Arabidopsis thaliana: one gene and its partner. The protein of the gene in region 1 interacts with the protein of each later gene in a pairwise test. Each region holds a gene or a part of one and is shown on either strand. Other genes may lie near its edges.

Region 1 (6,941 bases):
ACAATTATTAATCACAATTCATTTTTCTCTCTCCATGTTATGCACTAATGAATCTTGTTTTAGCATGTTTCACATTGATTGTTCGGGTTGTTACCATTTTAAATAATGATATGTTTCAATTCACAATTTCATATAGATGACTTATGTACGCAACTATGCATTTTCATATTTTATTCTTAAAAAAGTATCGGTTCGTAGTAAAGTCTGAATTAAGTTTTTTACTTTTGTCCTTGGAAGAGTACGGAAGAAGACACTAATCTACCCTTGATTTAAGGAGACAAACATATCATTAAAAGGAGATTATGTTTATTGATTTTAGATTATACCCTAAACATTATCCAATTAAAATAAAAACAGTTACTTTAATTGACTTTTAGGCTGTATCGGTCGTAGACTCGTAGATAGCAGTAGATACCATGAAACTGAAGCTAATCCACTCACCATTCCGTCGGTTCTTCTACCTTTTTAACTTCAAATTATTTCACATGGCCTACACATAGACTATAGTATACATTTATCTAAGACCATGCGTTATATGATTATGATAAGAATGGAGCTCGTAAATAGTATATCAGATAAAGTTGAATGAAAAAAATAGTTGATCGGTAAAATAATATTATACTTGATTAATTGAAACATATATTGAGGATAAGCTAGAGTTACCATTTCCTATAACTATTCTACTTAGATTAGTACTCTTCGTATGAATCATATGTTACATTTTATATACACTTTGATAAAACTATTTGTTTTACATATAATTCTGTTTTGCATCAATGGACTCTCACTATTGCATCTTGTGAACTCGTCTGTTTTATTCCCCATGATGAGTGATGAAACCATCAGCCACGCCACCAATGATCTCAAACATTATTTTTATATTATAGTTACATCTGTCAACACTCAACAGTAACATCAATGTATTGTTCTGCAATGTCATCTCACATATCTTTTGCAAATTCAAAAAGTACGAGATATCTCTCTGTAGATCAAGACCATTTGGTGTTCTTTGATTCAAGACACTAGAAACAATTTGATTGTACTATAAATCCTCAATTTTTGGAAGTTTATCAACTGTTAGGACAATCGACCTGTCAGTAAATCTGAATTTCTTATATGATAGTAAATGATTTTAAAACATATCACAGCCGTCAATCAGAGAGACTGTGAGAGTCACCGTTGAAAATCACTCTTTGGTGAGTGAAAAAATGTAAAAGTAAAAGAACCAATGGGTAAGGGTCCCTCCACGTGTGCACATGCGCTTCGGTGGACGCGTGCATGCAAGAGTGTTGCCACATTAACGACGTCGTAGAATGTGATTAAGGGCACAAAACATTTTAATCAAAGAAAATTTGACTGATGGTGACGACAATGAGATGGTGGGCGTGTAGAGTTCGGAGAATGATTGTTGAGATTCCCGTAAATTACGGAGGTCCATTGGAAAACAAATCCCCGCACCAGAAGATCCATGTTCGATGTATTTTGTTGGAGAAAAAAAGCTAATTTTAATATCAAAAATATTTCTCTTTCGATAGTTGTATATATTTATCGAACATCAACTTTTATATTCATGTACATCTATCAATATCATTTTTTCGTTTTCTGAATTAAATTGACCAATATAAATGAATTATTATTGTTTCTTTTTCCTTTTTATCAACAATTATTATTGTTTCTTTTTTTCTTTTTCAAAACCAGGCTTTCCCAAAGTTTGCGGATCGCCACGTTTTAACCACTAACACCATATTGATGTTATTTGTTGTATGTGTATAAAAAAAGTTATGGCACAGTTAATGTGTTGACCATGCTTTTCATATTTGATACCTAGTTGTGAATGTATCACTGTGAAGCATCAAAAAGAAGATGAAATAATGCACCGTATAACCAAGGTGTGCACTGTGCAATGCAATGCATCATAAATTTCTCAAATTCTGTTTTTTGTATGTAAATTATTGACGTATAATGGTAAATATGATTAATAGATTCACTCATTGTTCGACAATAATCAAACTGAATATTGCTCGATAATAACTGAACATATTACATTAACAAATTACGCACTCACAATCGTCAGAACCAGCCATTATTCTCAGCTATACATTCTATATCATTTGTTATCTTTTTATAACCTTAGGTGATTTAGGTGATCCAGGTCACGGTAAGTATATATAGATTATAAACTTTTATGGAAGACTGATGACTCAATCTACAACATTGGAGAACCACAACTTTTTAATCTATACTTTACGTTCTTTAACATTTAAATTTCAAAACTGAGATGGACTTTTTTAGTTATTATATATGTTCTAACTAAGTAATGACACCAATTCAAAGATAATCTAGATTATTTAGCGTGCTTATATAGGCCTTTATTTGCTTGGCGACAGCGCTGACTGATAAGGTTGTCAGATAGAGAATTACATGTTAAATCAAATATGTGAACATACATTACATACATATATATACGAGTGATGAGATCATTATATATCACGGATTCACGGAGTGTGAAAAAAAAAACCAAATGAAGCTACGCAGTTGACAGAAAACAAACGAAAGATACACAAAAAATGTTTTTTTTTTCATAAAATCCTCATAATTGCAAAACTTAAAACATCAAAACGTATATATATCATCACAAATTTTCGGCGGAAACAAATAATAATGGACAAAAGTTTCCTAAATTATAGGGTAATACAAAAGGGTACGTGGGCCATTCGTAGCATGTGCATGCATGTGCTTCTCCTATCTCCTATTGCCCCCACCATTTTCCCTCTCCTTTTGAAACAATTAAAATGGACCCTTTCCTTCTCCTTTCTCTCTCCCTTACCTCTCTGTCTCTTTCCCTCTCTCTCGTCGAATTCACGAATTCGTGAGGTGACCGCAGATTTGTTCTTAGCAATCTTTGACGACACTAGAAGTAAACAAATTCTTAAAAAGGTATGTGTTCATGTCTCTTCTGGTTATAATAAGGAACCCTAAACGGGGAAAAAATCCAGTTTGGTTATGATTTGATGTATATTAGTATATTACATACATGTATCCCTTTGATGTATAAAGACATCATGGTTTATTACTTAGGATTAACTTACTTTTTCTTGAAAAATGACTCATAATTGAGTATATTTCTACTTGATTAGGATTTAGGATGCAGCCTACGAGCTCAATGAATGAAGAATTCCTAAAGAAATGGCAAATGGGTCTTCAAATATTCCGTCCTTCGATAGACAACACGAGCGTCCACGAGAGAAAAAAAGCAATAAAGCTCTCTGCAGACGTTGCAATGGCGTCTCTAAGAAAAGGAACAACTTGTTGGAGCCGAGCCCTAATCGAGAAAACCGCCACCGAGGACAATTTCCTCGTACGTCAGATGCTTTCCGGCATCAAAGCGGAAACGTTAATCAACAAGAAGTTGCCTAAGAAGACTGTGTGTCATAGGAAGATCGTGAGGCGAAGCAAGAAGATCTTGAGGAGGAAATCGAAATCAGCGAGCGAAGAGGCTGCAGCAAAAGCTAAGAGACTCGTCAAGAGACGGACTCAAGGATTAAGAAACGTTGTACCTGGTGGTGAGTTGATGAGCAATGACGTCTTGTTGCTTCAAGAAACGTTAGATTACATTGTGTCGCTTCAAACGCAAGTAAATGTTATGAGAAGTATTGTTGATGCTGCCGAGGCCGAAATTGAGAGATAAATGATAAAAAAAAATCTTGTTTTATTTTTTTATCTGCGGAGATTAGTTGCGAAAGCATGATGTCGATCGGATCTTGTTGTTGGTCATTAGAACCGTATGTTATTCGGACAATGCAATTGTCATACGAGGATGGAGAGATATTATAGTAAGCCATTTTGTACATAAGGAAATTTATACAATGCTTATAGAAAGTTTCTGCTACGTGATGGTGGTTTTTATTGGAACATTTCTTGGCAAATTTTTATTTTTTTTGAATTTAATTTAGTTAATGTGAGTGAATTTTAAGATATTTTTAACGCTTCGATTGCTTTTCTTGGCATGTTTTTATTTGAGAGAAAAAAATAGACAAATGTTATTTTATATTATAGATATCTGGTTCAGTTTTATTACAACTCACTCGTATTGGATAGCTCATTTGACATGTCAACCCAAAACAAATGATATATACTAGCTCATGTGAGTTTTTTTTCTGTTTTTTTTTTTCAGATTTTCAATGTTAATTAGCTCATATGAGTTGTCCAATATATATTTGACTCTTTGCTTATGTTTTTTTTTGGGTTAAAGACTTGGTTTGAAAGGATAGTACTAGTCTACTAGAACAAAACAACCAATAAGACAGCACGTGTAAAAATCAGTCTTTTTCGTATATACTCCATGTTTCATCAATCAGCATCATTTAGTATTCAGCTAAGGAAGAAGACGCTTAATGGCAACGAGGAAAAAAAAAACGTACATATTCACGTTCATTTTTTTCCTAGCTAAATTAATTAACACCGTTCAAAGATATATTATTTTGTCTCATGAAAGCTATGCCTCCCACCGATGGTATTTATCCATTTATATGTGCATCTATGTACATATGATTAATGATTCTCACTTCTCAGTTAGATCTGCATTCATTTTTGTTTGAACAAATTCTTATTAAAAAAAAAATCTTATTTGCCACGTACTTTATATGTTAGATCATGTAACAAAGGGGTATTTTCGATTTTTTCTGTATGTGGTCTAAACTGCAAGTTCTATTGACAACAACCCCAATGGTTTTTCTGTAACAGCTAACTTGCCAACATTTTCTTTGGAGATTATTAGAAGGAAAAAAACGAAAAAAAAATACCAATATAATATTACACATTTTGAGAAACTTGTTTATGTTCTGTTAGGCCCAGCCCAGTTTGTTATTAATTGGACTCGTAAATGGTTTGTTTAATAACAGTTGGACTCTTGTTAACCAGTCAAATGTCCACACAAACTAAAGGGAAAGAACTCAAGAAGTGAATGAAAGAGAGACAACACGGCGTTGCCCTTTATTTTATCTTAAAACGACATGTAGTCTTCCCTTATTAATGTCTTGACTCTTGAGAAATTGTGAGTTTGACTTATGTGACTTTATTTTTGGCTGTAGAATTGTCGAGGAGCAAGGAAATTATTAAGTAGAAGCGACTTATAATTTTAAAGGTTAGTCAAACATTAGGATTTAGGAGAAAGTTGTCTCAAACTATTTGTGGAACTTAACCCTTTTTCAAAAAAAATCATTTGGGGAACTATCTAAGAATTTTAAAGTCAAACAGAAATTGAATGTTATAGCTTACAAGAAATCATGTCATATTCTCATACATATTAAAGGAGTGTTACAAAAAAGGTTTATTTTCATTTTAAAATCCAAACTCTTATGCAATAATGCAAATGCACCATTTATACATAGAAATAAACGGCTTTGAGTATACGATAATTCTAGCATATGGTCCAAGCTAGAATCAAGAATCACTTTCACAAAAAAATTGTATACCACTATAACCGATAGAGACACCCTATGTGGTAAAAATTTCGTATTATCTTTTAGTGTATATTTTCTTTGATTTTTGACCTATTCCTATAGGGATGAATAAACTTTTGGTCGCAAAATTGGGATGAATTAACTTTGCACATAAACCAATGTTATTAACGTTATAAAATTACATGTAAGTTGTCACGCAATAAAGACTAAGTGACTAGTGGGCATGTAATCCAACTGCTTCCATGCCCGTTATTAATTCACCCATTAATGCAAAACTTTAGCCATTCAACATTTAAATACATACATACATGTATACAACATATCGCACAAGAATCAAGATGTCACTCTTTTGTCGTAAGAAGAATTGCCTCAATTCAATGCAACTGTCTTACCACCACACCTACTTCTTATCTAATGCTCCAGAAAACAGAAATTAAGGAAAAAAAACATATAAACAAAGATTCATAGAATAATGGTTTGTATCTCAACTGCAAATTATATGATTCATTATCTTATTGTTAAAAAGAAAATTCATATTAGACACAACAAATTGTATGACTAACAGTTCCGCTAAACATATGTAGTATTGATAGCCAACTTTAGTCTGAACTTTAACCTAACAACATCAAGTTCAGGATTTTAATTTATCTGAAGAAATTTGCGATAACTACTCACCGGTTAAGCATTTTTACGGTTTCTTCAACAATCTTTAGCTTTCACATGACCAAACAAGAATCATGCGGTTTTGAATCTTTGACAATTTTATTCCTTGAACTTACTTATTCATGATATTTAATTGAGTCGTTTTCTTGTTAGATGGAAAGCTTCAATCGACAATTTAATTGTTGGGTCTAATATTCAAGAACTGAAAAAGATTTGTCAAAAATAATACAAGACGCACCAAATGTTCTCAATCTATGTCTAAAAATATATGTATCTCAACACCACGTTTCTACAATGATTCATATATCTTTTTGCACTTATGAGGACTAACACAAAGAAACAATTGAACAGAAAACTAAATTTGAAAATGGAAAAATTATAGTAACTAGACATTAGTTGAAGAAGAAGAATGAACAACCTTGTTTTGTCTCCCTGCAAGCCAAAGCATAGTCCTCCTAGCAAAAGATGGTGTTTTAGTCTCCAAAGACTCCGAGTTTTCGCACTTTTGATTATCTTCTTCGCAACCACTTTCGATCATCGCATCGGGATGGTTCCGCTGGTTCGATAACCTGAAAGAGAATGCTCTTCCCGAAGACGAAGAAACCAATGAACTATCCTCTTTTCCTTGAACTTTACTATGCTTCTCCTTCTTCCCCCTTAGCCATATTTTCGATACCGAAAAGCTCTCTCTTTCCACTACATTCTTCTCGGCCGCTTCTTCCACTATCCTCATCGATCCACTCCCACTGAATTTCAATCTCCCTGTTGGATCAAACCCGCATTCGGACATCGCTGTCCTATGACCGGGCAAGCCAC
Region 2 (9,568 bases), on another chromosome or scaffold:
CTTTTTTCACTTAAGAATACTGAACTGGTTGGTTACTACATACGATAATTTTCGAAATGAATTATTTATACGTTCGTCCAGATTAAACTAATAATATCTTGATACTTGGAATGGGAAACCCAACAAAAAGTTAGTCTGTGTCAGAAAACTTTTCCGGAAACTGGCAATAGTCTCGAACAGCTTGCCGTTAGTACTACAATCTACAAACAACACAAAGGACTCTGGCAAAGCAATGAATAAGTTGGGCCCATCGTTTTCGCGGCCCATTTAGACCCAAACAGAACACATCACTCGCCGTGCAACTTGGTCAGTGGGTCCCCCCCATCATTTTTGGCCTTCGGGTATTCACAGGGGATCATCGACGATGGGCCCAACTTTATCACAAGTCCTTTTTTTTGGGTACTTCTTTTATGGGCCCACTTTGTTTCGTCCTTGTCTCCTGGGCCCTTCGTATGTTCCGGTCTTTATCATCATCACTATATTTTCTTCTACCTTATCAATTTTAATTTTTCTTTCATTGTGTGTGTATGCGAGACTCTTATTTCTAATCCATGTCTACGCATCAACTTATAATGTTATATGATCACATTGTTACGATGAGGTATTGTTTTACAATGGATCTTAAACAAACCATTAAGGTACAAACAATGACGATTTGTTGTATTTCTTTGTGTTCAGATTTTGTGGCACTCATTTCTGACATCAATTCGTTTTTTTTTTAATCAGACACATATAACAAAGTATCTTTGCAAATGAGCAAATTAATGCTATCTTACAATTAATGCATTTGAAAGTAGAATTTCATTCTTTAAGTTGAATGTATATATAATGAATTATAAGAAAATCGGTTGAATCCAACGAAACTAACATGTGAACAATGATCGATAGAAGTGTTTCGACTTGCATCACTCATTACCTATAACGTATTTACTATTTACTATTACACAACACTGTATCAGTATCGATCATTGTGCCAAATATGTATATACATGTACGTGTATTTAAATGTACGACGAATTCTATACGTGTAAACGTATAACGTAGAAAATTTAGAGACGTCTCCTTCGTAATCATTTAAGTATATATATATATATACACTTGGACAGTTCAATGTTATTGACGATTTATAATCATTACGACGCTAACCAAATTTAGCACTGGACTTAGACTTCTTATTTTGGGAGGTGAAGTGCATTCATGATGTTTGATATGTTTCAAAATATTATACGACTAAATAATCCAAACAATCTTTTGATGAAAATAAAAATGTTATAGTTGACGATAGAAACGAGCAATGCTTCATATAACGTGGAACAATTGCATTACATAGACAATTGCTTGTGGACATTCGTACTCTACATAAAATTAGTCGAAGTTAGCAAAATTCACCTAAGATATTGAATCGTTTGTGATACATTGCTTCTTCCTTTTGGGGGTTTGATATTAAATGCTTTTACAACTATATTTCCATTGACAATCTACCTTTATAATGATTATTAGCTAAACCAACTTACAAACAACGTTTTGACAACCATAATTGTTATGCACTTTTCAATAGTCTTAACTCTGCTTACGGATGTCGTTTGCTCAGCAATTTGGGAAATGGGAATAACTCATATAAAGAGATATGTGTGTTGTTGTGTGGATCCCATGCATGTCAGGTTTGTAACAGCTGTCGAATAATGCAAGCTACATAGAAAAATAAAACATTTTCATTAAAACACAAAAAGAAGAAGGTTAGAGAGAGCTATTCATTTATTCATCGAAACATTTTAATATGGGAAGAAGGGAATTCCCACACCACTCCACTACGAAGAGAGGCTTCTTGGGCCAGTGTCACGTGATTAACACGCGGATCCAGACCCACTCATATATAAACGAATTATCTATAATATTTTCTAAACATATTTCTTTATTCATCGCACATTTTTTTTTTTCATGCTTCACGTATACATCCGAAAAATCTTTGTGGTCTCGCCCATATCTATCCTTTTAAATCCATCATGATCCCAATGTGATACGTTAATAAGACCATCTGCAATGGTTGTCTCTATTTTTTTTTTGTAAATATAGAAGAGAAAATAGAGATTTCTATTTTTACTCCAATAATTCTTCAAAAATAGAAATCTCTATTTGTTAGAAAGAAAAATAGGGGAAAAAAATAGAGATCCATATTTTTGTTTCTATATATAGAGAAAAAAATAGAGATCTCTATAATGGAAGTGAGAATAGAGATGAGTTGGAGTGTAATAAAAGCAAAAATAGAGTGTAGAGACAAAAATAGAGATGTGTTGGAGATGCCGTAAGTATTGTGAAGATAATCCTCACAGCTTTCTCAGCAATAAAAGAAAATATATCTCTTTAATTTTTTATAAAGGTTTTATGTGTGAATATTAAAAACTTTAGTCTCATATGAGTTCGAGACTGTGCTCGGGAACAAATTTTATAAAGATAAATCATCTAAAATTGAACTGCGTTTATAATGGCAAAGACTTTGCATAATTAGAATGTTTCTTATTGATAAAGACTTTGCATGTTTCATACTCATTTTGACATCTAATTGAATAAAAACAGAAAAGAGCCGTATAGCTTCAAAATCTTTATATTTAGAATAAAGTGTATATATGTGAAAGAGTAACACATATGTACGTAGGAATTAGGTTGGTTAAAGAATTGGCCACATCAATATCTGAGACACCAAAGAAGTAATGGACGTTGGGAGAGTAAGTAACGTTGCCAAATTGGAAATGCCAAAAAAAGATTGTACCTTTCCTCTCTTTGATTGAGACTTTACTACTACACCAAACCTTACATCACCAATCGCTGAAAGTGAAACCGATATTTTAGCACATTTATATTCCACTTCTACACCTTTTTACTAAATTTCAGTTTTGAGATTTACTTACATGAAGAAGAAATTGGCTAATCAAAATAATCAAGCAACGATGATTTGTTGCAATGAAATGGAAATTGGGATTTGGGCTCAGATTATTAGAGCATAAGTGGATTTCCTGTTCGGCCCATTGTGTGAAACAGGTTATTCCACTGGACCCATCTGTTCATCTTTGTCCTCAAATTTTCCTCTCTATCCCCAAAACACCCTTTTAAAGAAGTAACATTAATTGTTTTTTTTTTTCCTTTTAATAAATTTATAAGATATTTTGAATTAATATTATTAGTACGTCTCAATTTTTATTTTATTTTTGCCTTTTATACTCTAAAGTTTTTAATACTTGATGAATTTTGAATATTTTTAAAAAATAAAAAAAATAAAATATTTTTAAAAAATTAATATTACGCTTGGTAGATTTCATCCAACGGCTGAGATAATTACTAAAATGGTGTTTTGAGCTCAATTATTTTTCCATATTAAAAAGTGTTTTTGGTTCTTGGTTATTTACAGGTCAACAAAATAATTTGACACCGGAATCGGAGTCCGTGGAAAGTCAGAAAACCTGATGTAACACCATTTATGGCATTAACTACTGATAATAATACTATACGAAAATCCAATTATTATACCGAGAAAAAAAGAAAAGTGGTCAGAGACAGCAGGCTGGTCCTGCTGAAGAATAAATCTAATCTACCGATTCGATTAAATAAATATGTGCCGTTTTCTGGTACGCCCTATTCAAATCATTTTTATATTATAGTATCAAAATACTTCAAAAATTTACTAATTACAAAATTAAGGAGTGATAAAAAAAGTTTATAATCAGAGATAAAAAGTCACCGGTTAAAGCCCAAAAGGCCCAAGTAATATCCATTGGGATCCAGCAAAATATATAACAAAAGAACCGTACCGTACCTACAATAACCAAAATTGGTTTTCTCTTTCTTTTGTCTAACAGTGGCCTTTATTTAACAGACGCACTCCACTGCTAACGTTGCTTTCGTCCTACTCTTCTTCTGGTGTAAAAGCTTTTCTTCCACACACATTTGAGAAAGAAGACGAAGAAGAAGAGAGAATAACTATTCCTTCTTCGCCAAGTTCTCTGAGCTATAGAAGAAGGAGGGATTTCTTCAGACCGCCATTGTTGCCCACCTTCTCTCCTTTCTATTTTTCGCCGCATTTTACTCGCTTACTGACAAAAGTCTTCTACTCAAGTCTCTCTCTCGCTCTCTTTGGAGGCTCAATTAGGGTTTTGTTGTCGTGAGATTTGATTACACAAATTGCTGAATTTGGTTTCGATTATTGGTGTTATTGTTTTCGAAGATTTCCAGTGAGTTTCCGTTTATGGATCTGACTGGAGGATTTGGAGCTAGATCCGGCGGTGTTGGACCGTGCCGGGAACCAATAGGCCTTGAATCGCTACATCTCGGTGACGAATTTCGGCAACTAGTGACGACTTTACCTCCCGAGAACCCCGGCGGTTCGTTCACGGCTTTGCTTGAGCTTCCACCTACACAAGCAGTGGAGCTTCTCCATTTCACTGATTCTTCGTCTTCTCAACAAGCGGCAGTGACAGGGATCGGTGGAGAGATTCCTCCGCCGCTTCACTCTTTCGGTGGGACATTGGCTTTTCCTTCTAACTCAGTTCTCATGGAGCGAGCAGCTCGTTTCTCGGTGATTGCCACTGAGCAACAAAACGGAAATATCTCCGGGGAGACTCCGACGAGCTCTGTACCTTCCAATTCAAGTGCTAATCTCGACAGAGTCAAGACGGAGCCTGCTGAGACCGATTCATCTCAGCGGTTGATTTCTGATTCAGCGATTGAGAATCAAATCCCTTGCCCTAACCAGAACAATCGAAATGGGAAGAGGAAAGATTTCGAAAAGAAGGTTAGAGTGAGAGACAAATGTTTTTACTTTTTTACATTTGATCCTTCGTTTCATCAGATTGATTTTTTATAGGGTAAAAGCTCGACGAAGAAGAACAAAAGCTCTGAAGAGAACGAGAAGCTGCCATATGTTCACGTTAGAGCTCGTCGTGGTCAAGCAACCGATAGCCATAGCTTAGCAGAACGAGTAACTTGCATCTGCCTTCACTAATTTTTCTTTTTTTTGGTATTAATCAGTTGATTAATTCGCTAATTGATCACTAATTTTTGGATTATAGGCAAGAAGAGAGAAGATAAATGCACGAATGAAGCTGTTACAGGAACTGGTCCCAGGCTGTGATAAGGTTTGTCTCTTAGATATAGACGTGTAATCAATTTGTTAATCAATCATTAGGTCTTCATTTGTGATTAACGACATTATATTTCTCTAATTGATTCACTCCAAAAGTAAGAATTTATTATTAGATGATCTAGTCTTTTTGTTAAGGGTCTTAATCCTTCACACCTACTTTTTTTTTTCTTCCTAAAAAGTGGATTGCTTAATTGCTTTTTTATTAAGAAAAGTGGTTCCTGGTGTGCCAAAGTAGCCAGTTGGGTAATTGTGTAGTAATGCCTTTAGAGATCTCAACTTTATTTTTTTATTTCGTGTGGGGAGAAATATCTCACGGGTACACACTTAGCTTTAAGGTTAACTCAGTCACACGGAAGTGATAGGACCTTGCTTTATCGAATTCTTTTTCCATAAGTGTGTTCGTTGAGCTTGAAGATTAGTCTATAAATGACGAGAATGACCTTAGGAAGTGTGCTAGCTGTAATATGCCATTAAGGTTTTGGGTTTAGGGGACAGATTTTGGTGGAAAGATCAAGATCAAAGTGTGTTTTGGGGTCCATCTTTTGATGATAAGTGGGAAAAAAGTTGCAATCTTTCTATGGAAGGTGAGGAAGGGGTAGTATCGTCTCTAACAAGTTCGGTATCTATCAAGGAAAAATAGAAAATGACTCTTAGAAGGACGATTAAAGCAAATGATCCTTTACAAAAATTGATATGCTTTGAGTCCCACATACCTAATTAGTTGGAAACATGATGTGACACTCCCCCAGACAGCTAATTAATCATCCCTGATGTTAGAAGTTAGCAGCAATTATTGGTGTGATAGAGATGATGATATGGAACATCAGTGTTTGTTTAAAATTTGGATTCTATAGGTGAGCTGTGAGGACTTGATTGATTGTTCCTTTAGCCCCCCTAGGGTATACTGATTACTTGTGATTGTAGTAGATACCATTTATTATAATAGCTTTAGATTAGCACGTCATTCTCTTGCTGCTTTTTTCACTGTGTATTTTGGAATCTTGGTATTTTCTCGTTGAAATATTGGATCATCTTAACAATAGTTAGCTGTCTAGAAAGAATTTTTGGTATGTGAAAGCAGATCTACCTAATATGAATCCGAGCTTATCAGAAAGTCTTTGACCTGCAGATTCAAGGTACCGCGCTGGTGCTGGATGAAATCATTAACCATGTCCAGTCATTACAACGTCAAGTGGAGGTGAGACTTTCCGTGGTCCAATTTTTGTTCTTTATACCTATATTTTACAATAGCCCTGGGCACAATAAAAGGGTCAACTCAAAACAATTTGAAAATGAATAGAATTATGTGCCGCAATCTCATGAAACTGTGACTTGTGTTTCCACAGATGCTATCAATGAGACTTGCTGCGGTAAACCCCAGAATCGACTTCAATCTCGACACCATATTGGCTTCAGAAGTAAGTATCAAAATCTCAAACAATAATTTGGTCATTCTGATTAGTCTTCTCTAGGAAAAATTTAACCATTTCATGTGTTTCTCATTTAAGTTAACCATACCTCTTTGAGTAGCTTCTAGTTTCTATCACAAAAGGAGAAACTTTTGGGGTATTTATTGATACAAACATTAATTTAGACCATTTTAGTGTAAGGCATAGGAAGATCACAACGTCTACTCTCATGAAGGAAACTCAGGGAAAAATAAATACACAACACACACACACACCCAATGCAAATAACAGTAGTGGGTCAAAACTCGGACCACCTTTGTTCTGTAAAACCTTTCTGTGTCTTCTGTGACTTATGTCGGATGTGTTACTTGATGAACCTTTTAAAAAAAAAGTTAATTCATCCCTCAATAATTTCTGTGGGTCTCTTCCAAAATCTTGTTATTTCAAAGTGACCTATCTAATTTCATGATCACCTGTGGATTCTCATCAAAAGTTTTGGACCAAACTAAATAAATGCTCCCTCTCTCTTTCTTCTTACAGCTTGTACCACCATTAAATAGCCAGGGACCCTCTCATCAAACCTTGTTCTTTTAGGATAATAATAACACAGCAACAACAGTTGACTTCTTTGACTAGATCAAGATCTCTATGAATGATCCCTTTGCTGATATCTTTTCCGGTTTTGGCTCTGTGTTTTTTTCTTTGACAGAACGGTTCTTTAATGGATGGGAGCTTCAATGCCGCACCAATGCAGCTTGCTTGGCCTCAGCAAGCCATTGAGACCGAACAGTCCTTTCATCACCGGCAACTGCAACAACCACCAACACAACAATGGCCTTTTGACGGCTTGAACCAGCCGGTATGGGGAAGAGAAGAGGATCAAGCTCATGGCAATGATAACAGCAATTTGATGGCAGTTTCTGAAAATGTAATGGTGGCTTCTGCTAATTTGCACCCAAATCAGGTCAAAATGGAGCTGTAAGTTGGGAAAACGGTAGAGATCATGAATGTGTATATACATCGTATAAGCTCGTTTCTCTCTATATAAATATAATCATAAATATAGATATCTGTTAAGAAGGTATCAGTCATTTGATTCAGAGAGACAACACTGGTATGATTGTTTCTTATTCTTGTACCAGATTTCGACAATGTAGAATTTAGTAGGATATGATCATTTTGATCTCGTTATATATATCTTACTAATAATAAATAGAGATAAAAAAATTCTATTTAGGGAAATAAATCAGTATCGATAAACAAAAACAGAAAGAAGAAGCAGGGGCATCCTTTGGATATTGGAGTTGCACGAAAAAGAAGAAGCAAAAACAAAATGCAACTATATGTTTAGATTGTTTGAGCTGGACCAAGTGAAAATGCACCTCTTGAATTATGGTTTAGGTTAGGTAACAAAAAACCCTAAATTGACTCATTCGATAAGAACAGAGATGCAATCATAAATATGAGTGCAAAGCACGTTACCGGAAGCTGTGATGGCCTTGTTTGCGTCTACCGTATAGAAAGATTGATGTGTATCATCAATCCCGCCACTAGATGGTATCGATCTCTTCCTCAGCCTAAGATTCAACAAATTAACCGCCTTAGACGAAATCTACACGAGAGAAAGTTTCACTTTTTAATTCTTTTGCTTAATCAATTTGCTTAATCAATTTGCTCATATATGTTTACTTAAATTTTTGATGTTTTTGTAGTATTATTTCACTATTATTGTGCCTAATTAATTGTTTTTGTTTTTACAAACTCTCTCATAGCTTATTATTCTGCATCAAACTATCCAGGATTCGGTAAAGACACTACGATCCTCATAGAAGAGATCTGGAATTCTAGTTTCAGTTGTTTATCAATTCCAATAAAGTCTACACACATAGACATAGGATAAGATTATTATTAAGACCTTTAAAAAAAAATGATGGGAAGCATATTATTGTTACTATTATTCTTTTCTCTGGTCCAATCACGTTCAGACACGTCATATTCAAAAATTCAACTTCCCGGCGATTCTCTGACCCTCTCCGTTACCGATTTCGGTGCTACCGGCGATGGTATCAACTACGATACTTCTGCGATTCAGTCAACCATTGACGCCTGCAATCGTCACTACACATCTTTTTCTTCCATCTGCCGCGTCGTTTTCCCTTCCGGCAACTATTTGACCGCTAAGCTCCATCTCCGATCTGGCGTCATTCTCGATGTGACGGAGAACGCCGTGCTTCTCGGTGGACCGAGAATCGAGGATTATTATCCGGCGGAGACTTCGTCGGATTGGTACGTGGTGGTGGCGAATAACGCTACGGATGTTGGAATCACTGGCGGAGGAGCGATTGATGGCCAAGGATCGAAGTTCGTGGTCAGATTCGACGAGAAGAAGAACGTGATGGTGAGCTGGAACCAAACCGGAGCTTGCTTGGGTGATGAGTGTAGACCCAGGCTTGTTGGATTCGTTGATTCTATAAACGTTGAGATCTGGAACATCACACTACGAGAGCCTGCGTATTGGTGGTTAGTTTTGAAACTTCTGCTTTTCACAAAGAACTCTATGAACAAATTTGACTTTGTTTCACTATCTTAGATCGAAGATAAAGTAACTCTAGCTGAGAATTTAGGCTTCTGTGCTAAGTAATCTCTGATTTGATTATATACACACTCTCATTGCAGTTTGCACATTGTGAGATGTGAGAACACATCAGTCCATGATGTATCGATCCTTGGGGACTTCAATACTCCAAATAACGATGGAATCGACATTGAAGATTCCAACAACACTGTTATAACTCGGTGTCATATCGATACTGGAGATGATGCAATCTGTCCCAAGACTTACACTGGTCCACTTTACAACTTAACCGCTACAGACTGTTGGATCCGGACCAAATCCTCAGCCATTAAACTCGGTAGTGCGAGCTGGTTTGATTTCAAAGGTCTTGTCTTTGATAACATCACTATTTTTGAATCTCACAGAGGACTTGGCATGCAAATACGCGATGGAGGTAAACAAGTTTCTTCT

The links. The genes of interacting proteins can lie anywhere in the genome.
Region 2: the proteins of AT4G30410 (region 1) and AT3G57800 interact in binary tests that used the Arabidopsis thaliana proteins (3 or more experiments, as listed by UniProt).

Annotation. Positions count from the first base shown.
Region 1 is NC_003075.7:14,868,056-14,874,996, reverse strand, and holds AT4G30410 (sequence-specific DNA binding transcription factor), read left to right. Parts: upstream 1-2,729; 5' UTR 2,730-3,145; coding exon 3,146-3,688; 3' UTR 3,689-4,013; downstream 4,014-6,941. Other genes in the region: AT4G30400 (RING/U-box superfamily protein), read right to left, coding at 6,511-6,941. UniProt on the Arabidopsis thaliana protein: Functions redundandly with IBH1/BHLH158 in a regulation node known as the incoherent feed-forward loop (FFL).
Region 2 is NC_003074.8:21,405,991-21,415,558, reverse strand, and holds AT3G57800 (basic helix-loop-helix (bHLH) DNA-binding superfamily protein), read left to right. Parts: upstream 1-3,946; 5' UTR 3,947-4,237; coding exon 4,238-4,783; intron 4,784-4,855; coding exon 4,856-4,969; intron 4,970-5,060; coding exon 5,061-5,126; intron 5,127-5,622; coding exon 5,623-5,718; intron 5,719-5,988; coding exon 5,989-6,033; intron 6,034-6,263; coding exon 6,264-6,332; intron 6,333-6,480; coding exon 6,481-6,552; intron 6,553-6,963; exon of another isoform or gene 6,964-7,158; intron 7,159-7,252; coding exon 7,253-7,525; 3' UTR 7,526-7,770; downstream 7,771-9,568. Other genes in the region: AT3G57790 (Pectin lyase-like superfamily protein), read left to right, coding at 8,471-9,063, 9,220-9,551.